Danio rerio: one gene and its partners. The protein of the gene in region 1 binds, or shares a complex with, the protein of each later gene. Links are inferred from orthologs where the notes say so. Each region holds a gene or a part of one and is shown in the gene's direction. Other genes may lie near its edges.

Region 1 (8,303 bases):
TTCTTTTCCCCCCACCATTACAATTACAAATATGTACACACACACACACACACACACACACACACACACACACACACACACACACATATATATATAACACATAAAAGTAAAAGACAAAAGTGGGCATTTCTGCAATATTTCAAAATATGTTTTAGAAATGTAAAATCTAAGTATGAGCTTGATTTTCAAAAGCTTGCATGTTTGCCATTTATTATATTTCTATGTGGGCTGACATGCTATAGGGGTCATTTCAAAACACAGTATTAATAATAGTATTTAGGTCTAGGAATCGTTATATGATTGTTTTGGGTATGTCCGCCATTCCTAATCACATTTCTGCAGCAAGGAGGTCGATCAAATACACTGTTAAATCCTGTGAGGAGATGCTGAATGACCTCAGTAGGAAGGATTGCTGTGGTGACTGAACTTATGTGTGTAAGACGATGAGATCCCTTTCTGAACTCACTCAGAGCTATGAAACAACACGGAAAGCATGACCCGACGTGGATAAATCATTACAGCAGAGAGCATCAAAGTGTTTTACCATCCCTAAAGAGCCAGTAATGGGAACTCTATATCAGTTTTTATAAAGACATGCTTGATAAATGCAATAGTTGTAATAAATATTTATAATAATTTTAATAATTTAATAATTTATAATAATAGCTATAATAAATGGTAAAAGATGAGTTGGAAAAGTGCTTCTTAATTTAAAGGCAATATGATTTTATTTTAAATCAGTTCTAGACTTAGTTTTTATATTGTCAAAGCTACATATCATGAAAATAATAAGCCAGAAATTACATTTCAATTAGATCCTCTGATTTTATAATGCAACTGGACACATTGCCATTGTAAAATTACTTCAGCAAATTGAGGAAACTCAACAATCAAGCAATCAAGACCAATGTCAAAATCTGAGATGCTTTAACACTGTCCCCTATTGGTTGAGATTTTTACCTACATCAGGAATGGGACAAAATAGGGGGTTTTCACTAAACCGACTTTAAATAATATCACAATACATAATAATTTAAAAATAAATTATATAAAAAAAAAACATATCTTAAAATATATTTTAACCATCACTACAATGTTTAAGAGAAACTGAACTGACTTAAACATAATATCACAGTATTTGAATATCTTAGAAATATATAATTAACTGTTATACCATTACAATATTAAATTATGTGTTTGAAAATGTATCCAGGAACTTGAAACCTAAAAATAAAGATCACTTTTTTTGGGGGGGAGAAATTAAGATATAGCTAGATTATATGCAAACTTTATTCAAAACAAACAGATCTCAGAGGGAGTCTGAATACTTGTTTTCTTGCTTTATTTCCCCCCTAACTCTTTTATATACTTTAAAAAAGTTATGAAAGTTGTTCAAACTTTTCTAGAAGAGAAATTAAAACTTTTTTTAAAAAGTTGTATGGAAAAATGATTATCAGTAGGAGACGAACAAAGGAGAAGCTGAACATCAGCTTTGAAGATGCTTTAATAATAGGATATTAGTTTGTTCAAACTGTTTTGTGCACGATTATTAAACACAATTGTACATTTTAAAGAACTAATCTTTGAGCTTTACTTTTAAACACTCCTAAAATGGCTAGTGAAGTCGTGGAAACAACGGTTTTTACCTAATAACATGATCTCCAGTTTTTTTCGGTCCACTCGGAACCTCTCCTCGGTCCACTCGGGGTCCGGAGGCGCCGTGGGTCCGCTGGAGTCATCCTCAGACACGGGCAGCGGGGAGTCGGTGCTGCGCTCGCTGTTGGAGCCCGGGTCAGACTGCTGTAAGTATCCGCTTAATGGTTCGCACTGAGCGGCCATGACTTTCACAGAGCACCGCTGACTCTCCGCAGCCTCAAATCAGATCATTCCCGCGGAGAGTGAGCGCCAGTCATCGCGGGCTCTGTGTGAGTTACTCTGACCGACCGGAGGAGTATAAAGTGAGGCAGGCAAAAGTTGAGCGCCGCCCTTTGTTCAATATGAGCCAGAAGGGTGGATGGAAGGGGTCTGTGTCCCAAAACTTATTAAAGTGCCCACTTGACACCGTTCAGCTCCTGTTACGCCATAAATATGATGTTGATAAGTCTGACTCTTAAGTAACATTTCGAGAGTTTTTTTGGGGCAATACCAGTGTATAAATTAAATTAAAAAATTTGTTTATTATTTTATAATTAATTGTGTATTATTTAAATTATTAAATAGAAATATATTTTACAAATATTGAATATATTTTACAAAAAACAAAACTATATAAATTATTTCAGAAACATTAGTTGCAAATTGCACAAATATAAACTTTAAATGTATTTACATTATTTTAATGAACAATATTTATTCATTATTGTGAAAAACTAGATATTATATTATATTATTATATCTTTTTCTAACAGGAATGATAAGCTCTCTGCTAGCAAAATATATAATATAATATAATATAATATAATATAATATAATATAATATAATATAATATAATATAATATAATATAATATAAATAGGAATAAAAAAGTGAGGGCAGCCAAAAGTTGAGTGCCGCCCTTTGTTCAATATGAGTTAGAAGAAGGGTGGATGGAAGGGGTCTGTGTCCCAAAACTTACTGAAGTGGTTACTTTTACAACAGTTTTTTATAAAATATGTTTTTATTTTTCACCTTTTCATTTTAGTTTTATTTTATACTTGTTAATGCATAATATTCAAAATAAATGTATTGTACAAATATTGAGTATATTTTACACAAAACACGAAATTTCATAGACAGTAGTTTTAAAATTCAGTCCGATAATAAACCATTTTATGACACAAAAGAGACCATATAAAAGGAATGAAATAAACTTTAAATAAATATGTTTAAAATGTTTGTGCATTAAATTAAAACTATAAATAAATATGTTTAAAATGTTTGTGCATTAAATTAAAATTTACCATTTACAATTTTAAAGAGTATTTATGAAATACAGTCCAGAGTTATTATAGTATATCATTATATAGGCCTAATACAATATGATATTTATAAAAATAGCTATAAATATATATGTAAATAGATTTGAAACAAAATGTTTATTTATTGTTCAGATAAAATAACCGTTAAAAACAAAATATTTAAAATTAGTTCATTATTATTTAATATACAGCACTTATAATTTTTTTTAAGTTAAAAGTTTATTAATATTTTATTAATTGAGAGTTTATTAACAAAACCATCATGATGACACCATAAGACTAAATGGACAAATAAAAACTTTAAATATATTTTATTTATTTTTATTAAAAAATTTGTTATTGTGATAAATATAATATAAAATGATATAATAATATAAAATAAAATATAATATAGATGATATATAAAATAATAATATGTAAATATTAAAAAATGATATATAATATAATATAATATAATATAATATAATATAATATAATATAATATAATATAATATAAAATGTCTGAGTAATCTTTTCCTAACAGAGGGCTCGTGTCACGTGACCAATGATGCTCCTGCAAGGATGTAGCTGTCAGCTGGAAGAGTTCGGCAGATATGATGTGAGCAGTTTACACAAATTTCAAGTACGTATAGTATTTATTTTCACTTATCTCTAATGCAGCCGTGCGCAGCATTTTTAAATATGTCCGTCTAAATGTCATAAAGTGCTATGAAAGGCTTTGTTTTGATAGCATAGGTTGCTAACAAAATGGAGGCGCGCGCGTCTTGAAATCCAAGTCAGCGCACATTTAGTGTATTTTGAACGAGCGTTTCTCTTGGAAAATTAAGGTTTTCACCTTTGTTTGAGTCTGAGTAATCACATATTGCACGCTGCTCAGTAGGGTTTGTTGTTTGTGTGTTTGGCAGGATGTGTGATCATGGAGATGGGGACGCGGAGGCGAGCTCATCTTCCACTTTCAGACCGTCTTTTGCTCTGGGCAACGTTAAAGGACTGCCAGGGAGAATTTCACACAATCCTCCTCCACCAGGCAGACTGACCTCCCTGCGGTCCAGAGACCTGACCCTGGGAGGATTTAAAAAGGTTACTCATTCTAATACCTTTTTAATGCTGTTTTTAATCTTTAACAAAGACAAAAGATTGGTTTAAAGGGATAGTTCACGCAAAAAAATAAAAATTCTGTCATCATTTACTTACTCTTTCCTTGTTTCAAACCTTTAACGTTATTCGTTTCTGTCTTGTGTTGAATTTATTGAATTACTTGTTTGTGTTTTGGATGTTTATTGTTTTGTCCATGTTTGGGCTCTTGCCCTCAGCTGCAGTCATCACAAGACAAATTTCCCTAACTGGGACAATAAAGTTTTACCTTACCTTACCTTAAACACAAAATAAATAATTATGAAAAATGCTGGAAACCTGTAACTATTATTGAGATTTTAAATTTGGTTTTGTATTCGCTCGTTCATTCAGAACTTGTGATATGATCATTAGGCATGGGCCGATACAAGATTCTGACGGGATGATAACCTTGGATAAAAAATATCACGGTTTCACAGTATTGTGATTACTTCTCTAAAATATATTCTTTTTAAATCTCTGGGTAAAAAACAAACTTTTTTTCCACTTTAAATACAAAAAATTTACTTTGAGAAACATTTTAAATATTTTCCAACAGTAAACATGTCAGGCTACAGTAAATAATTAAAACAAGTCTTTGACTTCTGCTGTCTTCATTAGTTTCAAAAACTCAAATTTCTTTACAATTTAAAGTAGCACCTTTAGATATGTTTTTGTTGTCGGAGATTTGTCCTAAAAAAAAACAAAACAAAAAAAAATAAAAAAAAAACGAGATAAAATAAATAATAATTAAAATATAAATAAAAAAAACAAACAAATACATACCTTAGGAAACGGTATAGCAAAAGATTTCGGCAGTTTTAAAACCTTGATTTTTCCAAACCGCAGTACACCTCGAAAACGGTTATTGTCCCATGCCTAATGCTCACTATATCGTTTACGGTAACTTGGTTAAGTTAGTTTTATATTCACACATTCATGCTTTCTCCTTAATAATATAACTAGAGAAAAGTATTGTTTGCAAATTCTAAATAATGAATTAATATTAGCAGCCAACAACTGTCAAAGGGAAACATTAACAACTAAAGTCAGTTAAATAGTGCCAATGTTGTTTTGAAGACATCCTTACATGCTATTTCAGACTGAATAGTCAAAGTAGCTTGTTGAACAATACAGGGAGCGTGTCACAAGTTGTCGCTGTTAAAAACTGAACAATCGTGCGAATACAAAATCAACTTTACCTTAGTATTGTTTACCATAGTACTTTATCAGGAATATTAGGACTGAAATCACATGTAACTTCAAAACAACATTAGCACTATTTATTTGGCTGTGGACAATGTTGTATAATTGTGATACAACATTAATAAAACAATAATACTTGTTTGAAATTATATTATTAAGGAGAAAGTCAGAATGTGCGAAAATAAAACTAACTTTACCACATTGTAACCAGTGATTTTCTTAGTATTTGTTTTTCCTACTATGGTGGTCAATGGTTACAGGTTTTCAACATATTCAAAATATCAAATTTTGTTTAATTGAAGAAAGAAATGTATAATGGTTTGTGGGTGAGTTCATTATTACATTTAAAATATTCAGTGAACTATTCCTTTAACTTATGTTACTTGCATTGTGCTTTTTTACAATAAAAACATGGTTTCAAACCTGCTTTGGAGAAAATTATGAAGAAAATGTAAATGTGCAGCGCATTTTTTTAAAACCATAACCATTAGGATATATTTGTATAATACAATTTAACATGATCACATAACATGATAACATGATCTATCTATCTATCTATCTATCTAATAAATGCAGGTTAAATTTACATGAATGCACCTGTTACTTTAAATTACACTAGAATAATATTATTTTACCCATATTCTTGACATTTTACTTTCTCTAAAGTCTGAGACATCAAATTATAGACACTTCATTACATTGAATATTCTTTTTAATATTAAATTAAATTAAATTTTTTGTAAATTGTTTTTAATGCAGACATCAAATTAGGTCATCATGTCAATGCCTCATACTATGTTTATACTTGTCAGTTTATTAGAATTTTAGTCTAATTACTATCTGGTCATGTGTAATAAATATGAGTGTTACTTTAATAATGAACCAAGCAATTATTAATTGACTCGCTGTGTTTTTATTTCCCTTGCAGAAAACCTTTGTTCCAAATGTTCACTCCGTTCGCAAAAGTAAAGATGAGTAAGTATTTTTAAAGATCTCATTCTATTGCTTTGTTTGGTATTTGTAGTACTCGTGCTCAATATAATTCTTCTTCATTTTGATAGGGCTTTTTATAATGGAGATTTTGTCAAAGCAGCAAACTGTGTTCTGGGGTTGGGAGTTAGAATATGCCTTGTAAATATGGCTAAATTGCATAACTATAAATATTTAAATACATTAATAATGCTATACACACACGGATGGATATATATATACACTCACTGGCCACTTTATTAGGTACACCTTACTAGGACTGGATTGGACTCCCTTTTGCCTTCAGAACTGCCTTAATCCTTCGTGGCATAGATTCTGGAAATATTCCTCAGAGATTTTGGTCCATATTGACATGATGGCATCATGCAGTTGGTGCATATTTGTTGGCTGCACATCCATGATGTGAATCTCCCGTTCCCCCACATCCCAAAGGTGCTCTATTGGATTGAGATCTGGTGACTGTGGAGGTCATTCGAGTACAGTGAACTCATTGTCATGTTCAAGAAACCAGCCTGAGATGATTTGCACTTAATGACAAGGCAAGTTATTCTGCTGAAAGTAGCCATCAGAAGATGGGTACACTGTGGTCATAAAGGGATGGACATGGTCAGCAACAATACTCAAGTAGGCTGTGGCGTTGACACAATGCTCAATTGATACTAATGAGCTCATAGTGTGCCAAGAAAATATCCCCCACACCATTACACCAGCATCACCAGCCTGAACCTTTGTTACTAGGTAGGACGCTTGTAACAAGAGGCTTTCATGTTGTTGATGCCAAATACTGACCCGACCATCCGAATGTTGCAGCTGAAATTGAGACTCATCGGACCAGACAACATTTTCCAATCATCTTTTGTCCAAATTTTTTAGCTGACAGGAGTGGCACCATGTCTACATGCCTAAATGCATTGAGTTGCTGCCATGCGATTGGCTGATCAGAAATTTGCGCTTCCGAGCAGTTGGAAAGGTGTACCTAATAAAGGGAAATGTATGTTATATACAGTGCTCAACATAAATATATACACTTCGTTTTGAAAATGAATATTTTTATCAATTTCTCAGTGAATATAGGTCATGTGTTTTGATGCATTTAAACAAAACAGATTTATTAAACAGATATATTTATTAAAATAATATTTTAGTTGCCGAACAGCATTAGAAATAGAAAGATAATACATTAAAAATAATGCTAAATATTGGAAAGGAAATTACAAACGACAAAATAAAAAAATAATAATCTATTATTTTTTTTCTTTTTCTTTTTTTGCTCTTTTTATTTATTTTTTAAATACATTTTTTCTCTAACATATAAATTTGGGTGTACTATTTTTGGACCGTTATCATAAGTTATTTGGTTAGATTAGCTCCATATTAAGCTTCATTACTGACTAATTTAATGTATATGCACAAATATAATATTTTAAAACTTCCTATAGCAAATAATAATTTAAATGAGAGATTTGAGAGGGGTGTACTTGTTTATGTTGAGCACTGAATATACATAGAAATCTAGATAAATTCACTGATATATTATTATTATTATTATTATTATTATTTATATTATTTATTATTTTTATTGTTTGCCTGAATTAGATCCAGTCAGATCAGAAAAATATCTTATTGCCAGTTTATTTTAGTAAGATCATTACAAAAAAATAAATAATCTTAAAAGATGGAAAATAAATAAAACCATGTCTCTAGGGAAATGTTATTTTGCAAGAAATATCATTATCGCAATACTTAACATCCTCCCATATATTCCATATTATTGTCAGTTAACACTTGTTTTTAATTTTAGCAGGACCACCTAAATGCATTTTAATAGCAGGTATTACTCATTTGTTTGTGGTGTAAATCACTCTGAATTGAAACTGTTTTGTGGAGGTTACAGGAGGAGCCTCACAGTGCACCAAAAAAAGAGAGAAGAGACAGGGAAGACAGACACAGAGAGAGACGACAGCGACGAGAAAAGCCTCAGACCATTCAGTCTCACTCTATCTTTGAGCAGGGCCCTGCTGACACCTATAGGAAACT
Region 2 (8,444 bases), on another chromosome or scaffold:
AAGTCAAATCTAATAATGTGAAAGAATTTAATTTGGATGTATTTCTAGAGTTTGTTACTTTAATGAACATGAATTGCCTAATTATTTAATGAAATTAATTATTATTATTATTATATATAATAAAGCATAGATATTACAGGAATAAAAATAAGGACAAAATTATTAGCCCTTTAAGCTATATAAGCTGTCTACAGAACAAACCACTGTTATACAATAATTTGCCTAATTACCATATCCTGCCTAGTTAACCTAGTTAACTTTAAGCTGTCTAGAAGTGTCATGAAAAATATCTGGTAAAATATTATGTACTCTCATCATGACAAAGATAAAATAAATCAGTTATTAGAAACGAGTTATTAAAACTATTATGTTTAGAAATGTGTTCAGAAAATCTTCTCTCCGTTAAACAGAAATTGGGGAAAAAATAAACAAGCGGCCTAATAATTCAGAGGGGCTGATAATTCTGACTTCAACTGTTATACATATATATATATATATATACATATATATATATATATATATATATATATATATATATATATATATATATATATATATATATATATATATATATATATATATATATATAGCATAATTTTGTATGTTTTACGCTGCTTATTCCAATCAATATAAAATTAGAAATTATTTCCAAATAAAGTAATCTAATAAAATTATTTTTATATCCCAATATTTATTTTTTTCCAATAACAAGCAGCCCGGAAAAAAGCGCATGTCTTTGTACTCTGGGGGAAACCGGAGCACCCAAAAGAAACCCACGCGAACAAAGGAAGAACATGCAAACTCCACACAGAAATTCCAACTGGCCCAGCCAAGACTCAAACCAGCAACCTTCTTGCTGTGAGGTGACAATGCAAACCACCAAGCCACTGTGCCACCCAAAAATCAATTATCATTTACTTATTCTCGCATCCTTCCAAACTCATAAAACTGTTGTTTATTAAAAAAAAAATTACTTTGTCATTGTTTAAAGAGATTGTCTCTTCAGAAGACTTGTATTAAACAATTCAAATAAAAACAAACAAACAAACAAACAAACAAACAAACAAAAAAGCACACACATATTTCATTTAAGGGACAGAAATTTATCAGATTTCATTAAAAACTTGGTTTGTCCTCCAAAGATGATTAAAAGAACTAATGGTTTTAGAATGACACGATGACTAAAGTGTCTGTTTGGGGTGAACTGACCTTTTATAAAACATTTTGGGCCAAAACAAACAAAAAAACTATGCAACATTTTCTCTGTTTTGGAAATTGTCGTTGACATTTCTCTGCTATTTACAACTTTAGCCCAAAAACGTGGCAGCTGTTCATTTCTTCCTCAGTTTCTTTGAAAATGTCACTTCATCTCTGTTCCTGACCCCGTAGCTGAGGACAGAAGAAACACAATCATGCTTAACCACAAAAAAAGAAAAATACTTCCGCAATGCAAGATTTGGACTCACTCCTTCAGTTTTCTTCTGTCATCCTCTAATTTTTCCCCATTGAAAACTAGATGAAATGTCCTCCACACATATTTCCTGAAGAAAAAAGACAGACAAAAAATCGAAATAAAACAAACAAAAAATACAACATTTAACAAACAAAACGAATCTAAATAAATACAAATATAAATAAATACAAATATGATTAAATAAATACAACAAAAGTACAACAACAAAGGTCTGAAGTTATACTAACAGGAGCAAAAAAAATTTTTAGGCGTATTAAATGAGCCCATATTTTTTTAAAAATGTTTAAAAAAAAAATTAAGTATACGTACTAGCATGATATAGTCATGACTTAAATTCCTTAAAAATCTGAGTGAGGCAGATTACATTACTTCTGTAATATTCAAGCCCGCATGAGGTTTTCTCTAATTTACTTATTTTCACTGCCATGAAGAGTTCAGATGCAAAAACCTCTAAGTGCCATCTGAAATTTCCTTCTAATATTAGCATTTTTCTCAGGCTCCTATGTCTTGATTAAGTAATTTTAAATTTATGGCAAAGAATAGCTTATTTCCATCGATTATAACATGAAATCACTGAACATAAAGAGAAGAGACTGAGAAAAATGCTCATTGTAAAAGAAAATTCTAGATGGCACTTGGAGATTTTGCATCTGAACTCTTCATATTTTTCTCACGTCTCACCAGCTGACGTGCTTGACACCTCCTTCTCGCTGTTGCTTCAGCTCCATATATCTGCGAATGGCTTTCTTGAGATCCAGAACAGTTGCAGACTGCACAACCACAATAGCTGTGGAGAGATGGGCTCCAGTCAGAATCAATTAATAAATAACAACCATTTAAAAAAAAAACATGTCAAGAAACATATGCTGTTTCCCAGATCAAGATCTCATGGGTCACTGGGAATCTGGCAAAGACATATTAAATAAGAAAACTTACGCATGACTTCTCCATCCGCCTTACAAACCCGAACAGTCATAGCCTGGCCATATTCCAGAGCCACCTGAGAGTTTACCTCCTCCAGTGTGACCTGAAAAATTCAAAGGTTCAGAAATATAGGATTAATAATTAATGCATTCAAATAAACAGTTTATTTAGGACTGGTAAATTAAATGGTTGGTTCATGAAATCTGAGAGTTCCCTCATTCTCCCTAGACAGCAATGGTTTCCAATTTGTTCAAAGTCCTGAACAATACAAATTAATCATCATCAAAACAGATCATATGCCTACAGTGGCTCAATCAGAATATTATCAAGCTACGAGAATACATCTGTGTGCACATAAAACAAAAATAACTACTTTACTCAACAGTTTCTTCTCCTCAGTGTATTGCATGTGTTCACGAGTGGTGTGCACTTATGTACTGACTATGACTTCCTTAGTTTGAAACAATTCACAGACACATTTGAGGTAATAAGCAAGTCAGAGGTGCAACCAAACGCGGCACATAAATGTGAGCATTATACTGACACAGAGGAGAAGAAACTGTTGAAAAAAAATCTGTAGAATATAGAAGATTTTAAGCTGGAACTATTACCCTCTAGTATTTACAACTACATTATCAGCTATTCACAACCTGGACAAACAGCTCTGAGGAAGATTTTAAATATATTAAACTCAAAGTGATGGCGCTTCTTGACCACCATTATATAGATAACGTACATAGGAAAACATAGTTCTCAACTTAAAAAAAAAACGTATTTTCTGTTCTACTTAAGAACAGAATCTTGGGATGTCAATTAACCGAACATTTTAATATCTGGGTGAATTGTCCGTTTAAAACAGCCCCTTGACTGCATGTACACCTGAATGGGCAGGTCACACAGAAGCGGGTCCTGCACTATGAGAGCCAGCCCTTCTTCAAAGATGTCCAGAATTTCTGAGTGTGGAAGAGCCTCCTCGTCTTCTTCCTCTTCGTGCTCCTCTTTTATTTCATCTTCCACAGTTTTCTCCTCTAACTCTTTTTTGAGCTCGGTTTCGTCCTTTATTTCGTCCATTTTATCTTCAAACGTCTTGTTTTGAGGGTATAGAAATCCAAGACTTATAAAAAAGTCACTAAGCGTTAATAGTTAACATAACTACAATTTCGTAAAAAAACTGTACGCCTTTTGCAGAAGCTTATTGTATTAAAAATTGTAACTTTAACAATTTGAGCCGTTCCAGCATTTCTTTTTACATTTCATTTTTATAAACACGCTGTCGGAATATTTCAGTGATGCACCCGACTTTAGTTCCGCATAGGTTTTTTATGATTCACATTCTTTATTACAATAACAATCTTCTATTAAAATATTTTTTAATCAGCATTAATATATTCGTTGACATTTTCATATATATTTAAGTTTAATATATACAACAGAAACAGTGTTCATCCTTGTCTATATTTCGTTTTATGGCGAGCCAATAATACAGAGGCACATTGATTGTCATGTGCTTCCTGTAGCGACTTAGAAAGGACTGTGTGTAAATACCAACTTCAGTTGCATCAGAAAGAAACTATAACTGTATTTACTACGTAACATAATCTATGACTGTTTGAAAATGCTCCTGTTTTGTCCGACATGTGGGAATGTGTTAATCGTGGAAGAAGGACAGCGATGCTTTAGATTCGCGTGTAACACATGTCCATATGTGCACAACATCACGAGGAAGGTAATGCATAACACCGGTTATGGAAATTTGTATCTAATAAGCGTTTGGAACGTTTGATTCGAACGCATTAAAGTTCGACGGAACGCCGACATTTAAAAGTTCGATTCGAATGAAACGAAAGAAATGACTTGATTCGATAATATGAGAACGTGTGAGGAACATCTGATGAGATCAATGTTTCTAACATTACAAATTATATAACAAAAATAGATTTGAGTGAGGGAGTGTTTATGTTCTATCAAACATTGCTTTCAGAGCATGATAAATAACGCTGGGTTACTGAGTAGTTACTTAAATGAAATGGTTAAATGATTATAAGATTGTATTGTACTTTAAAATGCTCTTTATTTCATCACGTTATTATATTTATGTATAAAATTTACAGTTTTAGAATAAATTCTCATTAAAAGATATTTTGAATAATGCTGGCACCCATTTTCTACCATAGTAGGAAATAAGAGTTGATTGAAGTCAATGGATCCCAGCAACATTCTTCAAAATATCTTCTTTTGTTTAACAGAAGATATAAACTTACTCAATGTACTTAATAAACCAAGAACTTCGTTTATATTATCTTGAAAACGTAGGAATTAAAAATATTTTAGAAATTTTTTAGAAATATTGTTATAGCTTCAGGTGGATAAACATCTGGATACTTAAAAGTTTATATTTGATGTCACTTCATAGATACTTATGTATGTGTGTCTTATCATCAAATGTTCATTCATAAATTGCACATACTTCTGAATTAAATCAGCCACAGTGCCACACGCAGGTTAACATTTTACCACCACTCTTTACTTCTCTTGTGTCTATGAACTCCGTAACATTACAAAACTTCCCATCATGCCACCTGTTTCCCGTCTTAAAGACACAGATGCAATTATAGCACATGACAATACTAACTTCAGAATCATAACACAAAACCTGGATAAATAAATCACCTCTATAAACTACTGACATTGTTTTTAAAAGATAGCTCTTAAAAACTCATTTTTGCATCCCCCAAAATGCTGTTGTGCAAACAAATGGCCAAAACACATACAAGTTTTCAATGCTTAGTTGGTCTGTAAATGTAATTGGCTGTTAAGTGAAAAAGTCAATTTCAAACTCTGATTAGAATTCAAAATGACGCTGTTTTAGACACTGGTAACAACTGTATTTATACAGTGACATATTAAAGAAGAGCCACTTGTCATAGTATTTTTGCTATTTATGTCATTGATAGTTTTTTTCAACATTCCGCATATATATTCTTTAAAGTCTGTGTGAAATCCAAATTTACAGTGTTTATTTTACAAGCACACAATGCTATTCTTTAGGTAAATGATAAATCCATGCAAGCTAATTCACCGAAAAAAAAAATCTTTGTTCTGATAATCTTCAAAGTCTGACCATTTGCTCTGGCGTTTGGAGTGGCAGTCCTTCTCTGATGATGTCAGTTTGGCAGATGCATCCACAATATTCCTAACCACGCCCCTCTTACCTTTAGTTGATGAGGGAATGATGTGCAAAAAGAAAGCCCCGCCCCCTACTCAATATGCAGTTTCAGTTTGAGGTCCTTCAACATACTAAAATAAGTCTCAGCAACTTGCAGTAAAATTAAAAACACTTATAAATCACCTTGAACCATCCTTGTTTTTATTAGTATCTAACAATTGAAGCTTGTTTCTATGAGGGTTAGGTTTATGGTCAGGCATAGACAGTATCATTGACCTGATAAAAAAATAGGAAAACAAACCTGTTTATGTGCTTTAACAGGTAAACAACAGAAAGTACCCCAAACTGAAGGAGGTTGATGATGTTCTTGGAGGATCTGCTGCTTGGGAAAATGTGGATTCCACTGCAGGTAAACAAATGAAACTTGAAAAGTAAAGTTTGCTCACAAACTTATGGTGGATTGACTGAGACTAGTCTGAAAGTTTGAAGTAGTTTTAAAGTTTAATTAATTGAAATAGTTTTTAAGAATTTTGAAACAGTCGGCATAGATTGATAACTACATATAGGTCAGCATGTATCTAGTATGGATTGGTATGTTTTAGTATAGATTGGTATATGGTTAGTATGTTTCTAGTGTGGATTAGATTATTATAGTATGTTTCTAGTCTGGATTGGTATATTATTAGTATGTTTGTTAGTATGTTTCTAGTATGGATTTGTGTGTCCTTAGTATGTTTCTAGTGTGGTTTATGTCTCTAGTATAGATTGGTATATTGTTAGTATGTTTTAGTGTGGGTTAGTATATTTTTAGTATGTTTTAGTATGGATTGGTGTGTCCGTTAGTATGTTTCTAGTATAGATTGGTATATTGTTTGTATGTTTCTAGTATGGATTAGTATATTTTTATTATGTTTTATGGTATGAATTGGTGTGGCCTTGGTTTGTTTTTTAATGTGGTTTATTATGTTTCTAGTATGGATTGGTATATTTGGAGTATGTTATGTTTTTCTTCCATGGATTGGTATATTATTACTATGTTTCAAATGTGGATTAATATATTTTTAGTATGTTTGTTAGTATGTATCTAGTATGGATTGGTGTGTCCTTTAGTGTGTTTCTAGTGTGGTTTATGTTTCTTGTATTAATTGGTATATTGTTAGTATGTTTTTAGTATGGATTGGTATATTTGGAGTATGTTTGTTATGTTTCTTCCATGGATTGGTATATTGTTAGTATGTTTCTAGTGTGGATTAGTATATTTTTAGTATGTTATTAGTATGGATTGGTGTGTCTTTACTATGTTTCTAGTGTGGCTTGGTATGTTTTTAGTATAGATTTGTGTGTTGTTAGTATGTTTCTAGTGTGGCTTGGTATGTTTTTAGTATAGATTTGTGTGTTGTTAGTATGTTTCTAGTGTGGCTTGGTATGTTAATAGTATAGATTTGTATGTTGGCAGTATGTTTCTAGTGTGGATTATATTCAATGTAAAGTCAATGGCAGTGTTTTTTTTTTTTTTTTTTTTTTTTTTATAATGGAAGTCTATGGGACAGTTGCTACTTGCTAGGGTGCTGTAAGTGGTTGCTAGAGTGCTGCTAGTAAGTTGAAAGGTCATCAGTGATTGGCAAAATTGGTAGTCTGGGTTAAATGAGCCCAACCTTAAATCTGTATGACACTCTGGCGCAAAGATATAAGATTACAAAGTTTGGTCCAATGTTAAGTCAATGGGACTTTTCCGAATTCTCTGGGTCAGTTTTTGGAAAACCGTGAATCGCATTAGTTGGAAAAGATATAGCAACTCAAGTCAGACCAGTTTGGAGTTAATTTGGTGTTTGTAGCTTGAACGGATTAGGAGGAGATACATAAAGAAATTAGTCTCAGAAGAAGAAGGAAAAGTATAACAGTATGTTGTCTTTCTCAAGCCACCATAATAAAAATGTATCTACATGTAATAAAAGACAGTTTTCCTGGTTTAATTTGATGCTTAACATTCTTCTCTATTTTTTTCTTCGTTTCTTGAAGAACCCTGTCCAAAATGTGAGCACCCAAGGGCTTATTTCATGCAGATTCAAACCAGGTCTGCCGATGAACCAATGACAACCTTCTACAAATGCTGCAATATACAGTGTGGCCATCGATGGAGAGACTAAATCTAGACTTTGTTTGGGAAATATTAGAATAATGTATTGAATTGTTGGAACCCCATCATCATTTGTGTAAATTAAAACCCTCAGATGCTCTTTAAACGTTATTTCCCTCATCTAGAAGCTTTGTAAAATTAGGTTGTGTGCAATAACCAGATCATTCACTTGCCTTTTTTGGTGTTTATGTGTGAAAGTAATAAAACAGATGCTCATATTTGATCCAGTTTGTGTTTTTATTTGTTCAAATGAGTCCATACGTTTTGTTAAACATACACATTTGAGACTTGGGTTGAGCACAGCATCTGCTGTAGAGCCACAGACTATTCTCAAGGCATTTATCTACAGCTGCATTCCCATAAGACAAGCTTGACATCTACTCTGTCGGAAAACAGCGTCAAGTCACTTCACAAAGCAAGTAGACTTACAAGTCGAGAGCGTATTTGATTAAAGGGAGCCAGCCTGGGTTGTGCAAGTAAACCTCATGAACATGCATACATATTTACTGGAGATTATCGTTCAGTAGTCAGACAGACGGCATGTGGTTACAGTGGATGTATGGATGAGGTCTTTTTTCACTTTATATTGGTGGAGGTTTTGAAATTTGATTTAATGTGAGTTTTGAAGGGATAGTTCAACCAAAATTGAAAATTCTGATTTTTATGAATTTCTATTGAAGACAAAACAAGATATTTTGAAGAATGTTGGGGAATAAGCAGCCATTGATATCCATAGTAGGAAC
Region 3 (6,794 bases), on another chromosome or scaffold:
CAATTCATTAATAGTTTGTATTGACCACATGTAAAAGACTTTATCTAGATTTATTTTTTTTTACAATTTAAAGTACATACTCAGAGATATACTCGTATGTGATCATATTCCTCCCTTTATTTAGAATTTCAGGGCAAATATTTGATTGAGAAGGTATAAATATAAAGCACATATTAATAAAGTATATAAAACACTTTTCAAAAACCAATGATTACAGGTCCAACATTGCTAAATAATGTAAACATTGTACTTTCAAGATTGCAACTTTCTTATGATGCAGGGATGATCTGGTCAACACGCATATACAAGTATTACTGTTAACTCCACAAAATAAACTATATATATATATATATATGTGTGTGTATATGTGTGTATATGTGTGTATATGTGTGTGTGTGTGTGTGTGTGTGTGTGTGTGTATATGTGTACACACACACACAGGGGTTGGACAATGAAATTGAAACTCCTGGTTTTAGATTAATTTATAATTCATTAGTATGGTGTAGGGCAGGGATGTCAAACTCAATTCCTGGAGGGCCGCAGCCCTGCACAGTTTAGTTCCAACCCTGCTCCAACACACTTACCTGTAGGTTTTAAACAAGCCTGAAGGACTTAATTAGTTTGATCAGGTGTGTTTAATTAGGGTTGGAACTAAACTGTACAGGGCTGCGGCCCACCAGGAATTGAGTTTGACATCCCTGGTCTAGGGCCTCCTTTTGCAGCCCAGCCAATACAGCATCAATTGGTCTTGGAAATGACAGATACAAGTCCTGCACAGTGGCCAAAGGGATTTAAGCCATTCTTCTTGCAGAATAGTGGCCAGGTTACTTTGTAATGCTGGTGGGGAAAATGTTTTCTACCTTGCTCCCCCAAAACACTCCAGAGTGGCTCAATAATATTTAGATCTGGTGAATGTGCAGGCCATGAGAGATGTTCAACGTTACTTTCATGTTCATCAAACCACTCTGTCACCAGTCTTGCTGTGAGTCTTGTTGCATAATCATCCTGATACACGACACTGGCTTCAGGAGTGCACATGGTCCTCCAGAATATTTTGGTAGTCCTAGGCAGCGACATTCCCACTTAGCATAAGTATTGGGCCTAGAGAATGCCATGATATTGCAGCCCAAACCGTCACTGATCCACCCTCACGCTTCACTCTTGGTGGTACGCTTATTTGGGGCTTCTCCACACCGTAACTCTTTCCATGTGGAATAGACAGGGAATGTGGACTCATCAAGGAACAATACATCTTTCACATTGTCCACAAACCAAGATTTTTGCTGCTGGCACCATTGAAACCGATGTTTGGCATTTGCGTGAGTGACCAAAGGTTGGGCTATATCAGCTCGGTCATGTATATTGACCCTGTGGAGCTCCCGACAAACAGTTTTGTAGAAAGAGGATAGTTGAGGTGCACGTTTAATTCTGCAGCGAGTTGGGCAGCTGTGGTTCTATGTATTTTTGGATACAATCCAGGTTAGCACCCTGACATCCCTTTCAGACAGCTCTTGCATCCACAGTTACTACTGTTGGATGTGATTCATCCTTTTTGGTGGTATGCTAACATTACTCAGGAGACCGTGGCTCTTGATACATCACAACTTGCTGTCTTGGTCAGAGATACGCCAGCGAGACGCACACCAATTTGTCCTCTTTTGAACTCCAAAATGTCACCCATAATGTTGTGTGCATTTAAAACTTTTTAAGCAAAACCGTGCTTTTACTCTCCTAATTACACCTTCACACTCTGCTCTTACTGGTGGAATGCATAATCACCTGCCATGAAACCTCCAACACTAAATTGGCCAATGTTTTAGTTTCATTGTCCAACCCCTGTACAAATTGTCATATTGCACAGCCTTATCTCCAAAACAAGGCAAAGATTTGAGATTGTGTTGCTCAGTCATGCCCTTTAACGTCTGAAATCTCTGCCTCAACAGACCCTGAAGTACCTCTCTAAGACGCCATGTGTTCATCAGAAACCAGAGACAGTGAAGGAGTTCCTCACCGCCATGCTGCCTCACAAACTTACTAAGTACTTTTTATTTTTTCTCTTATTTTGTAAGCATGCATTTAAAACTTGTGCACTGAATCACCTCTTTGAAAGGAAAAACCTTAAAGCCTCAAACTGTGTGAAAGCCACAGTAAATACAGTGCATTGCAGTGACTTTGTAATTCTGGGTTTGAGATGCACCATTGTGAAGGTTTGTGTTGTGATGTTTCTGAAACCAGTACACGTGTGAGTTGCTGGTTTTGCACTTGACAATGAGTCTAGTGTTAGTTTATCAGATTTTTTATTTTAGCTTGTGAAAAAAGCAGCCTGTTAACTTCTTTTCTATTTCTGTTCAAAGAGCAGAGAAGCTGCAGCTCTTAAACCACAGACCTCAGACTGCTGTTGAGATCCAGCTGGTATGAGTCTTCACATCTTTTTTTCATACACTTTGTCTTTAACATCTTTGCCCATTTTTGACAATGCTAAGTATGTTCAAAATGTTAAACCCTTTAACTGCCCCACCAAGAAACAAAAATGTGTATTGCATTACCTAACTCCTAATGTCGCTAGTTAACATACTCAATGCGAATTTTTTTTTCAACACATGCCATGACGTGTCGGTTTATGGTAAAAGTACTGCAATTAATGCATATACTATGAAAAAGCTAAAACTATGAAGTGTACATTTTTGAAAACTAAATCATCTTCATTTTTAAGGTATGCCATGAAATATTTCAGATTCTCATTTAACATGTTTTTTTTGTTTTTTTTACAATAAAACCTAAATGAAGTGAAGTAGTGCAACAGGATTGTTTGTTTGATATTTTTTTTTTGTAAAAAAAAAAAAAAACATTCTTTACTTAAACAGTCAATAATATGTGGCCATTTTGTCGAGCAGGCAATTAAAGAGTTGAGAAATGATAGTGTCCCATAAATGTTTTTTTCTTCTTCAAAAATTACCTTTAACATATTGTTTAAAGTAGCTGTTTGTGAATGTAATAGATCTGCAATTTTTTAAACACATTAAACTAAGTCTATGGTTAACTATGGTCACCTTAAAGAAATAATTCAGAAATGCCAAAGTAAGCATCAGCAATGCACAGGGACTTTTTTAAATAATTATTTTGGTTGGTTTTTACCTTTTATTGAGATAGGATAGTAAAGGACAGACAGGAAACGATTGGGTTCAGACAGAGGGAAGGATCAGCATAGGACCCCTAGCTAGGAGTCGAACTCAGGTCGCTGTGAGCACTATTGTGCCATATGTTGGTATACTTAACCACTAAGCAATTGGCGCTGAATTGCACAGGGAATTTTCAATAAGCCAGCTCAAGCCCTTCCCAGCAAGCATTTTTTCATTCTAAAAGATGTCTAATAGATGTCTAAACATTGTCGTCTTGGCTAAAACAAGGCTAAATTTGGGCTGTCAGTGAAAATCTTATAGAAGTCTAAAAATAGCTCAAAACTAAACTAGTCGTCAAATAGACAGAAATGAATGACTACACATATATAGTCTGTCTATTTGACGACTAGTCTAGTTTTGAACTATTCTTAGATGTCTATTTTGTTTGCATGTTCTCCCCGTGTTCGCGTGAGTTTCCTCTTTGTGCTCCAGTTTCCCCCACAGTCCAAAGAGATGCGGTACAGGTGAATTGGGTTGGCTAAATTGTCCGTAGTGTATGGGTGTGAATGATTGTGTATGGTTGTTTCCCAGAGATGGGTAGCAGATGGAAGGGCATTTGCTGTGTAAAACATATGCTGGATAAGTTGGCAGTTCATTCCGCTGTGGCGACTAAGCCGAAAAAGAAAATGAATTAAGAGAGTTTGTGCACAACGAATTATGAAGTTTTGAGGTGTAACAAAGATTTATTTTATTTAATATTTATACAATTTATGCAAAAAAAAAGAGAAGTTTTTCCTAAGTTTTCCGAAAACATGATTATTTTACCTTCCCCATTTTCAGATAATTTCACTTGTTTTGAGGAAAAACTAATAATTTTCACCTAATTTTTCTAAAGGTGAAAACAAATACATTTTTCACTTGATCTAAGATTTTTTAGATATTTGGACTAGAAACGAAACAAAGCAAAGGAAGAAAAAAAAAAAAGATTATTCATTTTTTTGTACTTAAATATCATCTTGTGAAACTGTACTCAAATCACAATATGTATCATAGAAAAATAAAACATTGCAATATCTTATATATAAATATTTTTCTGATATCATGATGCAGCCCTGAAACCTACTGTGGAAAACCTTCAAAACTACATCAGAACCCTTTAAAATAGTGTGAATTAAGGCTTTTTAATCCATTTAATAGGAAAGTGACCATGACTGATGTTTATAATTGAACTGAATGTTTCTATTTCAAATGTTTGCATGCATTTTATATCTATTATATTTTAACAAACAAATCAACAGCACAAGTGATTATCAAGATGTGTTAAAGGGCCATGAAACCCCCCTCTTTCGGTTCATGTCTACCACCGAATTTTTTCATAAAATGCTTTGTGATGGGCGTGGAGCGCTGCGAGCAGAGGGAGGGATGGTGTGGCCGGCATAGAAGGGAAGAAAGAGGCGAGCGAACAGCTGTCAGTTGGCTCACAAAATGAGATGCACACCATGAGGAGGCGCATGATTTATAGTTTTATATTTTCCCATAGGATAAGAAAACTCAGCTACGAATAAAAATAAGAAACCGACGTGTCATCACTCCACTAGCAGATTCACGCTACGTCGCTGATTTTGATCCCGCCCCAAAAATGATTTTAAACCCAGAAGATAAAATTAGCTGACAAAAGCTTCAAATTATCCAGTTTTCCCCTCAGTTAAAGCTAACAGGTGCTAACGTTGTCTTAACTGATGGTCAACTTACACAAATCTGTTTCATCTGATCTGTTACACAAATCAAATTTCAGAACAGAACACAGTTATGGTATTTTTGATTTGATGAAAGCAGTGTTGATGAGCAAAAGATACTTTTTCTTTAGAAAAGTACAGGACAAAAAATGGTCATGCAAATGGCATAGTAAAAATAGTCTCTACAAACTAGTCTGACAATTATATTAACCAACTAAGAAACTGAAGATGTAAATTTGAAGAAAAACAGGATTTATTAATTACTGCTCAAAGCCTGTGGTACATTTATAAAAATATATATATATATATATATATATTAATAGTATTGATGAATAAACAAATAAAAAAAAAAACACTTACTGAGTCTTATGGAGTGTGAGAGTCTGAAGGGACAAAGATGGATTTCTGAACAGCCAACAAAAACTGGATGTTATTTGTATGACATCTCTATGAACTTAACTTAGGCAAGGCAAGTTTATTTATATAGCACATTTCATACACAGTGGCAATTCAAAGTGCTTTACATAAACAGGAATAAAAGATAATAAAGACTGATAATAAAAATGATTAAAAACAGATGAAAACAGACCAAATGTGTTAAAACAAGTTATAAATGTGTTATAAAACAATGAAAAATAAGAGAAAAACATATTAGTGCGATCTGACGGACCTAGCACAGTGCTCATTTAGTAAAGGCACAGCTAAACAGATGTGTTTTCAGTCTTGATTTGAACGTGCCTAATGTTGGAGCACATCTGATCATTTCTGGAAGCTGATTCCAGCAGCGAGAGGTGGAGTATCTGAAAGCCGTTTCACCCTGCTTTGAATGAACTCTTGGAATTTCTTGTTTATATGATCCTAAAGATCTTTTTTCAACTTACAGATGGTAGAGGAAAGTGAAGAAAGGCTGACAGAAGAACAGATCGATGAACTTATACAGAAAGTCACGGACATCCTGCCCGGTGACCCACAGACAGAAGCCAATGAATCTGCTGATCCTCAAATGGAGACCAACCAATAGCATTACCCCCAGAAACTCACAGTTTAATTTTTTTTTTTTAGTTTTTCATCCTTAAACGCCCAAGAGACTGACTTTAGATGGGTTGACAGTGATAATACTTACGTTTACTGTTGATCTTTATTATGTCAATGAAAACATTAGCCATTGCTACATCTAAAATAATAAAAATCCATATTTATTTAACCATAAATATCATGTTATTTTGTCAGCATTGTTTCCCATGCACAATTGTCGAAGCTGCATTGATCTTTGTTTGAGTAAGGATATGATCTTCTGGGCTCAAGACAGTCTCAGTTCCTCTGCGACATCCTTCCTGTATTGCTACTCTTTATTTCAGCTCATAAATGTTACAATCACTGACCATTTTGATTTGTGAGAAATTGCTCAAAAGCAAACCCATACCGTTTGTATGTCCATTAAGTTCAAATGTGAAACTGTGAATCAACAGTTTTTGACTTTAAAACTCTAGTATACTTGTTACAACCAAGTTAACCAGGATTTTTATCAACAAGTTGCTTAAAGGATTGTTTCACTTATAGAATGAAAAATGTCCTGGTAATGTACTCACTCTTTTGTCTTCCAAGATGTTGAATAAAAGTAAGGTACTTGGGGAGACATGCATGACTTGTACGGTGCTCCGTGTTATGAATTTCCAAACTGATATTTCAGTACAGCTTGAAAGGACTCTAAATTATTTTTACAGTCATTTTCTTTAATATTTCCTTTAATATCTTTATTTAACCTCAAAAGGTTGCATAGCAGCAAAGCTAGTACTAGTCGAACTAAAACTGTAGAATTGTGTATCCAATTTTGTACTTCTAATGAAAGAAAATGGCTGATCATTTGATTGGCTAGTTTCATATCATTTAGAGCAGAGATGCCCAAACTAGGGTCCACAGTCCAAAGTTGGCCCATGGC
Region 4 (8,458 bases), on another chromosome or scaffold:
AGGGAAAATGAACATGCGTTATGGATGTGAATAAAAAAGTTTGTGTGTTTACAGTATACAACATACTTTGTAGAAATTCTGTGAATTAAACTACACAACCCAAATGAAATAATGCTTATCAAAAGGATAAGAGCTGCCTCACTATAAAACAAGCATGATTGATTTCATTTTATTTGACATTTTTCCCACTTATGAGGAAAAAGCTTTATTATGGATGTGACATCTCTTTGTTCTGGTGTTACAGGTCTGAAAATAGTACTTGTCTGACTTTGGTAAATCAAATTTAAACGTTTGAAAACGCCCTCAATTGCTTCTACTGTTTCTAAACATTTATAAGTTTATTTGTTCGGCTGAACACAAAATTAGATATCCTGAAGAGTATTTCGGAACAAGTGCAGAGTGAGTAAACGATGACATAATTTTAACTGAACTATCAACTTTAAAGGCCTAATGATAATCGATAAAGTGAGGTAAAAAGAGGAGACTTCCACAATGTGCAGTGCTATAGACTTTCTCCTTAATAATTTAATTTCAGAGAAGTCTTCTATGCTAATTCTAATAAGGGAAATCATATTAGCAGCAAATGACTATCAAAGTACAGCATTGTTCACAGTCAATTAGATAGTGTTAATGTTGTTTAGAAGTCATAGTGGCATGTTAATTCCAATTGAATATTCAAAGTAACATGGTAAACTCTATAGCAGGGATGTCAAACTAAATTCCTGAAGGGCCGCAGTCCTGCACAGTTTAGTTCCAACCCTACTTACCTGTAGGTTTCAAACAAGCCTGAAGGACTCAATTAGTTTGATCAGGTGTGTTTAATTAGGGTTGGAACTACACTGTGCAGGGCTGCGGCCCTCCAGGAATTGAGTTTGACATCCCTGCTCTATAGAGAATGCTAAATGAATGAACGTGCGAATATAAAGCCAACTTTACCCCTATGTGCTACAGCATCACAAGCACTGTGAACCACAGATCTAAATAACATCTCTGACAAAACAAAAACTAAGCTTAAATGAAATGCAATGCGATATAATCAAATCAAAGCCCCACTGTCAGCACAAACTACGAATGATCTATGACATTGACTGGATTTATTTAACACAACATAACATTATCAAGGAGTTGCTTTCAACCCATGCTCGCGTCTTTTATTTATCAGGCCGTTTGGTGGTGCTACCAATCAGTTTATTTACATACTCCAGAAAGCACCGAAAGAGCAGGAGTTACAACATGCCAATGGAAACAATCGAATAAGGAAGTGCAGCTCACCTGGAGTCTTCTGTAACCTCCTCGATGAAGCCAGAGTCACATCTGGGACAGATATACTCCTGCAAGCAAGCAAAACAAAAAAAATCACAATCACAATATAACACAGAAAAGCCGGACAGTGTAAATAAACATACAGATAGCTGCGGCATTATGAGGACATGCATTTGCATAGTACTACACATGTTTGTTCATTTGAATTTTAAAACAAATAGTCTTGTATGAGTCCAGACACTCCCTATGAAGTGTGTCACAACAATTGCTGGCTGATTCAAGAGGCTTCTTCCCTATTTTTTTTTTTCTTCTTTTTTGGATTAAACAGGTCAAGACAGGCCATCCTGTCGGTCTCCAGCAAAAGAAGCACAGTTGCTGCTTATATCGGCATGTGGACTATTATTCTGCTTTATTCATACCTTATACAGTATGAACCAGTTTTGAATCATGTCAAGGGGTTTAACTTACTAAACAAAATGGGTAGCAAACATGTGTTTAACAATACACACTACTCATCCTCACCGGGACAATCTAATGACCTACTGACACACTGACCACCAAGTGCTAAATGTTGACGTTCATTGCAGAATTTGTGATATAATTTACGGCAAATGCGACATTATAAACAAGTAAAACAGAAACAGAAACATTAGCACTCCGGTTTCACTTCTGAGAAGAGTTCAGTGTCGATGTGATTTAAGGACATTTCTGAAAGTTTCTAAAAGCTGACATTAATAACTGAACACTTATCAAAACTGAACATGTCGTGAAATGTGAAAAAGTCATCATTTACAGTACAAAAACACAAGAAATGAGTGTAGCATTGGTGCTAAACACAAAACCTGTTGGTTTCCGCTTATGTTACGTTAACAAGCACCTGTCTAACATCTAATAAAACCGGTCATCGGTAAATACATGTGTTTTTTAGTGTTTATACACAAACAACAAACCACGACAGGCCTTTCGCCCACATCAGGCTGATACACTGCTAACATGCTAACTTTAGCACAACAGCGGAACCTGCGAGAGCGACAGCAGAACTACAGAAAGACATTAACTTGAGCCGGCTGCGCGCTACCAGCGACACGGACTCACCGGTAGTTTGGGACTCACTTCACCCTTACAACAGTGACAGAAGAAGCGATGCGGAGGGACCGCAGCAGCCTCCGCCATGTTTTCTGTGAGACTGCCTGTGTCCCAAACAGCAACAGCAGCAGCAGCGCTGGCCGAGCGTCGGTCCGCCCACTGCAGAGGGAGGTGCTTTGGCAATGAGCACTCAGTAGTGCGAGTCATTGAGGCGAGTCGACTCACTCAGGGGAGTCGTTTGACTGAGCTGATCAAAACAACATACTGAGTCAAAATTATTTACATAAGGCTGTGTGAAGTGTGCGTTTTACTAGTATTACAGGGATCAGAGAGGGCTTTATTCGAGAACAATGTAAAATTAAAACAAAAAAAGACCATTACATATTATTATATATGCTATTATGTCAGTCTAATATTATATGTTAGCATGTAATTCACCTAATTGAACTTTACTCTGATAATTGTAGTTCACTCCAAAAAAATATTCTTCTACCTACAAACCTGTTTGACTTCTGACAAACAAAACAAAAACTACTTAAATAGTATTTTTTCCTGAAACTGATATTTCCTAACATTTTTTTTTTCAAAATACCCTTTTGTTTATTCAAATAAAAAAAAGTAATTTCATAAAAAACACCCGAGTGTGAGTAAACAGTGATTCATTTTTCATTATTCATTCGGTTCTTTTGATCCGCAAAAAGATTCCGTTCATGATAGCGATTCACTCAAGCTTCACACACCAGAGCTCCGCCTCCACGTGATCAAACCACGGAAATTCGTCAGTGCTTGTCGTTGCACACCGTCTGGACAACACACGTGAGATCAAAAAGTGTGAACTCATCTAAATAACACATACGGATATCTAGATAACTTACTTTTTAGAGGTAAGTTTGTCTTTAAGCATGTGCATCTGTGCTTTGTTTAGCCTTTGTGAGATGTTTGCTTTGTGGAAAGGCCAGACAACAACTAATTCTGCGCTAATCCAGTGTTAGTAGCCAGTCAAAACGCAAATATGAATGTTTACTTTTGCACTTTGTTGACAAAATGTTTTGTTTTTAAACTGATGCTTTTAGTTATAGCTTGTGTAGCTTGTGTTTCTAGTAACTCCATGTATAGTTACAAGACTTTACATGTATTTTTGATGGTTACAGGTAAACGTTACAGATTAAGGAGGAAAACTGTAATATTAAAATTGTGAGCAGTTTTATTAATAAGGAAATGTGGGTAGACCATAAATAACACGAAATCATGTATGTAAACATTAATAACTGATAACATATTAGTCAACATATTCATCAAAGTTGATTCACTAAATGTTGACAACTGTATGCACACATTGAAAAATGATTACATTAAGTGACTGAACAAGAACATCAAGTGCATGAACAATATTTGATTTGCCTTTTTAGTTGCTGACCTATAGAAAACTACATATGAGGCATATACAAAGGTGCTCTGTACAAATTAGATTTAATGATTTCCAAATATATGAGACATTCTACCAGAAACATACATTTTTATTTATAAAATAAATGACAGGGCCTGACCTTTAAGCTTGTCTTCCTCAAAAAAATAAATAAATAAATAAATAATTAAAATAAAAAATAAAACAGTTTAATGATAGAATGTATCCTTGATGTCTGCTTCCCCATCAAATGATGCCACTTCCAAGTCATAGCCTTAAAGGTGTATAGCACACATTTTATGTTAAATTTAAGGCAAATGTGACAGGACTGACAGAAACATGGGGACAATTGTAAAAGTATTTGTAATATATATTTGTAGTAATTATTTGTAGACTTTATAATTTCATGTTTTTAATCAGTTTACGTGTATGATAGCAACTTAAACTTGCTATTTCTGAAGTTTTTCTTTTTTCTAAATAACAGTTTTTAGCATCACAAAATTATTAAACCTGAACGTTCAATTTGGCTGAGGACAATGACAAGGTTTGTACATTTGTAAAGTGTTTTTAATAAAGAACAAAAATCTGAGATCCTTACAAAAATCTTACTTTGCCTGGTTCAGCATATTGTGTGCTGTTCTGTCTTGTTATCCATTCTCAGCATCTCTGGTCTCTGTTAAAATCCCAGGCTTTGTAATATTTTCCCACAAGTGACATTTTGGAAATTGATTGCAATGCGTTTTGTGTGCAAGTCTGAAACAAGAATAGGCTGGAAAAAAACTAATTGTGCAATTAGAGCAAAAAAACCAACCAACACTAGTTTGCAAGTTGACATGTCTAAAAAGAATTATACATTATTCATAGATAAATTGACTACAGATTGTGATTTGATTGTTGCTCTCTGTCCTACAGATGACAGCACAGGAGGTGCGTCTGTGTGGGCTGTTGCTGCAGGAGCACTTTGGTGATGTGGTGGAAAATGTGGGCACTCATCTCATCCGCAATGGAGTTCTGACCTTGAGAGCTCTTGCCCATGAGACCAAACTGGCTCTTGACCTGGTAATGTCACTATTTAAAGCTTTCTTTGATAGCTTAAAAAATAAGATTCTCTTGGATGTGTGGTTTGTTAGGATAGGATATCCATTGTTTCCAAAATCCAAACAGAATAAAACTATTAAAAAAAAAAATTGGAATCTGAAATGTTTATATTTTTTAAGAGCCCATATTATACATGAAATAGGGCTGTAAGGGTCTCCAACAACAGTCTAATATGCATGCAAGGTCAAAAAACACTTTCATGGTCTTATAATTTGCATTTATTTTTACATAATTATCCCAGCGACTACCATATGAATCGTCCAGTGATTCATTTGTTCCCAAACCCCTCCTTAGCTTGAAACTAATCTGCGCTGATTGGACCGATGACAGTCTGTTGCGATTGGTCGACACTGACTACCTTCAGCGAGAGACAGTGAAATGCCCAGCAGCTAATCAACAATATAGAAGTAGTCACAGTGCATACACACTTCATATTGTAAGGTGTGGATTTTAGCTGCCAGTGGGTGAATGTAAATACAGGCGATGGACTTGAAAATACCAACGACTAACTATTTTATTGAGCAAAAACTCCAAGAATTGGCGAGGAGATCTCCTAGCTTGTCACACTCTGCTCTTTTCACACACACACACACACACACACACACACACACACACACACACACACACACACACACACACACACACACACACATAATCCTCCTCCGGACGACAACGCGCACACACACACACACATTACCCTCCTCCACAGAGGTCCGCAAACAAAGCGGCACGCGTCACATTTTTTAACGTGGCTTTGCACACGATACGAGAATATAGCGAGTTAACCTGATACAGTACAAGCGGTTATAAGTAACAAATCATAACTAAATACATTTGCAAGCTAGAGTAAACGAGGCAACAACTTTAATCGCACGTACTTACACTTAAGAAATGGAGGAAGAAACCGATCCATGTCCTGGCATGTCCATCAGCAGTCTTTACTGATCCTTTCTTTAACAAACGACCGATGAAGTATTCTTTGTAGCATGTAGTTTCCAGTAGTTTCCAACTGCTCAATGCCGGGCTAATGCTGAGGTTTCATCTTTGGGTAGAGACTCAATAATTTCCGTCTGCAGTCTGACTTCAATCGACTGCCATGTTTGTGTGTGTGTGTGTGGCTTTTGCTGTGTTAGAGGGCGGGGCCGCAGGTTTCAAATCTCACAAGTTTGTGCGTGCAACTACTTGGTTTCGTTATTACGTCATGGCGATACACCTAATGCCTCTTTATCAAGACGACTCGTTTGAAGCACTGTGAGTCGACTCTTTTATAGATGAATCAACAGTTTTAAACACTGTACACTTACAGTTTTAAGCCTTAGCTGGATATTTCACTTCACTTAGAGCTGTGTTACACGCTACATGGAAGGACATTTTCAAAAATCCATAATATGGGATCTTAAAAACAAATTTAAATATTGGAAAAATGACCTTTTAAAGCAGTCTAGGCCACGTTCACACTGCAGCCAAATGTGGACCAGTTCAGATTTAATTTGCCCACATGTGACTCGAGTAATGACAGTGTAAACAGCCCAAACTGCATGGAATCAGATTTTTTTCAGGTTAGATTTGTACCACTCTCATATGTAGTCTTAAATCAGACACAGATCTGGGGCCTCATGTATCAACGCTGCGTACGCACAAAAACTTTGCGTACGCCAGGTTTCACGCTCAGAATCGCTCACGTTTGGATTTACTAACGATGAACTGAACGTGGGAATGTGCGCAGCACCACGCTAGCATTATGGCTGGCGTACGCACATTTTTTGTGCGTGTCTGTTTTATTTCCATTGGCGACTCCTAGAGGCAGTTGTGTTAAATTCCTCTCTACAAAGTGTCTGAGCCTTGCAATGGCAGCTGTATGAGACAGGTTCATCTAGCAGGTATATGGTTTCCATACCATACAGTTGACCAGCTAAACATCAAAGCACAATTTGCAGCGGTCGCCTGTTTTCCCAATGTAATCTGAGCTATCTACTGCACACACATTGCTATAAAGACACTATCTGAAGATGAATTCGCATGCGTGAATCAGAAACATTTCCATTCAATAAATGTGCAAATAAAATATGATTCACAAACTTATTAATGATTCCCACTTGTCTTTCTCGTGATAATCTGATATGTAGCGGGGGAAAAAAGAAGAAAGAGTTCATCAGACGCTGGATTCGAACCGAGTTCATGCTCGAACGTGTCAAAACATGTTAACCTGCGTTTTACGAACTGCGCCACTGAGACTGTTGTAGGTACTGCAACATTTTACACCTATAAATCACACTATTTCTTTTTTATTTCACTCGGTGCGATGTTCAGACCCAATTGTGTTAGCCGCATTAGCTAAACTCTCCCACTATATTTTTTTCTTTTGTTGTCAATTCCGGAGAACAAACTTGCAAATAACACCGCTTTTTTCCGGTCTACCTCCGAAAGCAGCACCTCCAATTCACATTCTGTAAAAGGTTTCTCTTTTGGCTTGCTAGCCATTGCTTTTTCGTTGGGTTTTGCCAAAGTATAGTCATTAGCATATTCATACGGGGGAGGAGGCAGGGAAGGGTTTTGTGCTCGTGCATGTTGCGCTCAGTTTCACGTTCATTCGGATGTACAAAAGAATATGCGTGAGATTCGGCGTACGCAGTGTTTCATACATCTGAAATTTTTGTGCGTACGCAATGTTTTAGTATGATTTCCATGCAAGTCTTCGTACATGAGGCCCCTGATGTTTTGCATTGCGACCGCAGTTTGAACAGTTATGTCGGATTTCATGTGACTTTTGCATAATCTTTGAGTGGCATGCGTCATCATTCTGTGCTGCAGACATCATCATCTCCTTAGCAGCATAGTAGAAGGAATACACAGGGCAATTACTTTATCATAGAAAGTTGGTTGTTAATTTTTAGAAACATTTTGAAGGCAAAACTTGTACTTGGTATTGGTAACCATTCTGGATAACGATTGGGACACGGGTTAACCGCGAAGCTGAAGAGTGTCAGGGGTGTTGCGGATTGGAGATCCGTGCACAAAGGAGGGGGCACTTTTTTTTTTAAGGTTGAACTTTCTCTCAGAGAGAAAAAAAAGGGCATGTGCTCAAGCACTCAAACCCCCCTTCTGCACGTGCCTGTTGTTTATGACGAAGTAAAATGAAATAACCTAAACAGGGATAAACCAACTCCACCCTCACAGTTCAGTCTGCAGCTGCTCAACAACCCTTGAGTTCACTACACCATTGGTCCCTTCATAATCTAGCCCCATCCTATCTCTCAGAGCTGCTTCATCTTTACACTCCTGTGAGATCTCTTAGGTCAAGAGAGCAGAATCTTCTTTTAGTTCCACAGTCTGGGCTGAAACTTAGAGGGGACAGAGCTTTCTCTGTGGCAGGTCCTCGGTTGTGGAACACCTTGCCCCCTGAGATTAGAATGGCTCCATTATTATCCATTATTATCCATTTTTAAATCACTTCTTAAAACGTACCTTTTTAGCTTGGCTTTTTAAGATTATTTACATAGTTTGTTCTACCGCAAATTAAAAAAAAAAAATATATATATATATATATATATATTTTTTTTTTTTTTACAGTCATTTCTCTTGCCTTATTTCTATGCTTTTATATTC

What was found.
Region 2: zgc:171971 (region 1) and polr3k share a complex: the UniProt entries of both Homo sapiens proteins name them as parts of the RNA polymerase III complex. The link is inferred for Danio rerio from reciprocal best matches to the Homo sapiens genes POLR3D and POLR3K.
Region 3: zgc:171971 (region 1) and crcp share a complex: the UniProt entries of both Homo sapiens proteins name them as parts of the RNA polymerase III complex. The link is inferred for Danio rerio from reciprocal best matches to the Homo sapiens genes POLR3D and CRCP.
Region 4: zgc:171971 (region 1) and polr3c share a complex: the UniProt entries of both Homo sapiens proteins name them as parts of the RNA polymerase III complex. The link is inferred for Danio rerio from reciprocal best matches to the Homo sapiens genes POLR3D and POLR3C.

What each region holds. Positions count from the first base shown.
Region 1 is NC_133187.1:7,833,668-7,841,970, reverse strand, and holds the start of zgc:171971 (uncharacterized protein), read left to right. Parts: upstream 1-3,496; 5' UTR 3,497-3,550; coding exon of another isoform or gene 3,551-3,555; 5' UTR 3,556-3,579; intron 3,580-3,862; coding exon of another isoform or gene 3,863-3,863; coding exon 3,864-4,037; intron 4,038-6,204; coding exon 6,205-6,251; intron 6,252-8,153; coding exon 8,154-8,303. Other genes in the region: zgc:110716 (uncharacterized protein LOC550248), read right to left, coding at 1,647-1,839. UniProt on the Homo sapiens protein: DNA-dependent RNA polymerase catalyzes the transcription of DNA into RNA using the four ribonucleoside triphosphates as substrates.
Region 2 is NC_133178.1:45,544,404-45,552,847, forward strand, and holds polr3k (DNA-directed RNA polymerase III subunit RPC10), read left to right. Parts: upstream 1-3,888; 5' UTR 3,889-4,013; coding exon 4,014-4,124; intron 4,125-5,885; coding exon 5,886-5,973; intron 5,974-7,583; coding exon 7,584-7,711; 3' UTR 7,712-7,924; downstream 7,925-8,444. Other genes in the region: snrnp25 (U11/U12 small nuclear ribonucleoprotein 25 kDa protein), read right to left, coding at 1,332-1,389, 1,467-1,541, 2,156-2,261, 2,411-2,501, 3,278-3,469. UniProt on the Homo sapiens protein: Core component of RNA polymerase III (Pol III) which synthesizes small non-coding RNAs using the four ribonucleoside triphosphates as substrates. Can mediate Pol I proofreading of the nascent RNA transcript.
Region 3 is NC_133196.1:33,901,162-33,907,955, reverse strand, and holds the end of crcp (DNA-directed RNA polymerase III subunit RPC9), read left to right. Parts: intron 1-1,943; coding exon 1,944-2,038; intron 2,039-2,354; coding exon 2,355-2,412; intron 2,413-5,738; coding exon 5,739-5,876; 3' UTR 5,877-6,066; downstream 6,067-6,794. UniProt on the Homo sapiens protein: DNA-dependent RNA polymerase catalyzes the transcription of DNA into RNA using the four ribonucleoside triphosphates as substrates.
Region 4 is NC_133191.1:14,589,745-14,598,202, forward strand, and holds the start of polr3c (DNA-directed RNA polymerase III subunit RPC3), read left to right. Parts: upstream 1-3,140; 5' UTR 3,141-3,233; intron 3,234-4,666; coding exon 4,667-4,813; intron 4,814-8,458. Other genes in the region: rnf115a (E3 ubiquitin-protein ligase RNF115), read right to left, coding at 1,273-1,331, 2,359-2,556. UniProt on the Homo sapiens protein: DNA-dependent RNA polymerase catalyzes the transcription of DNA into RNA using the four ribonucleoside triphosphates as substrates.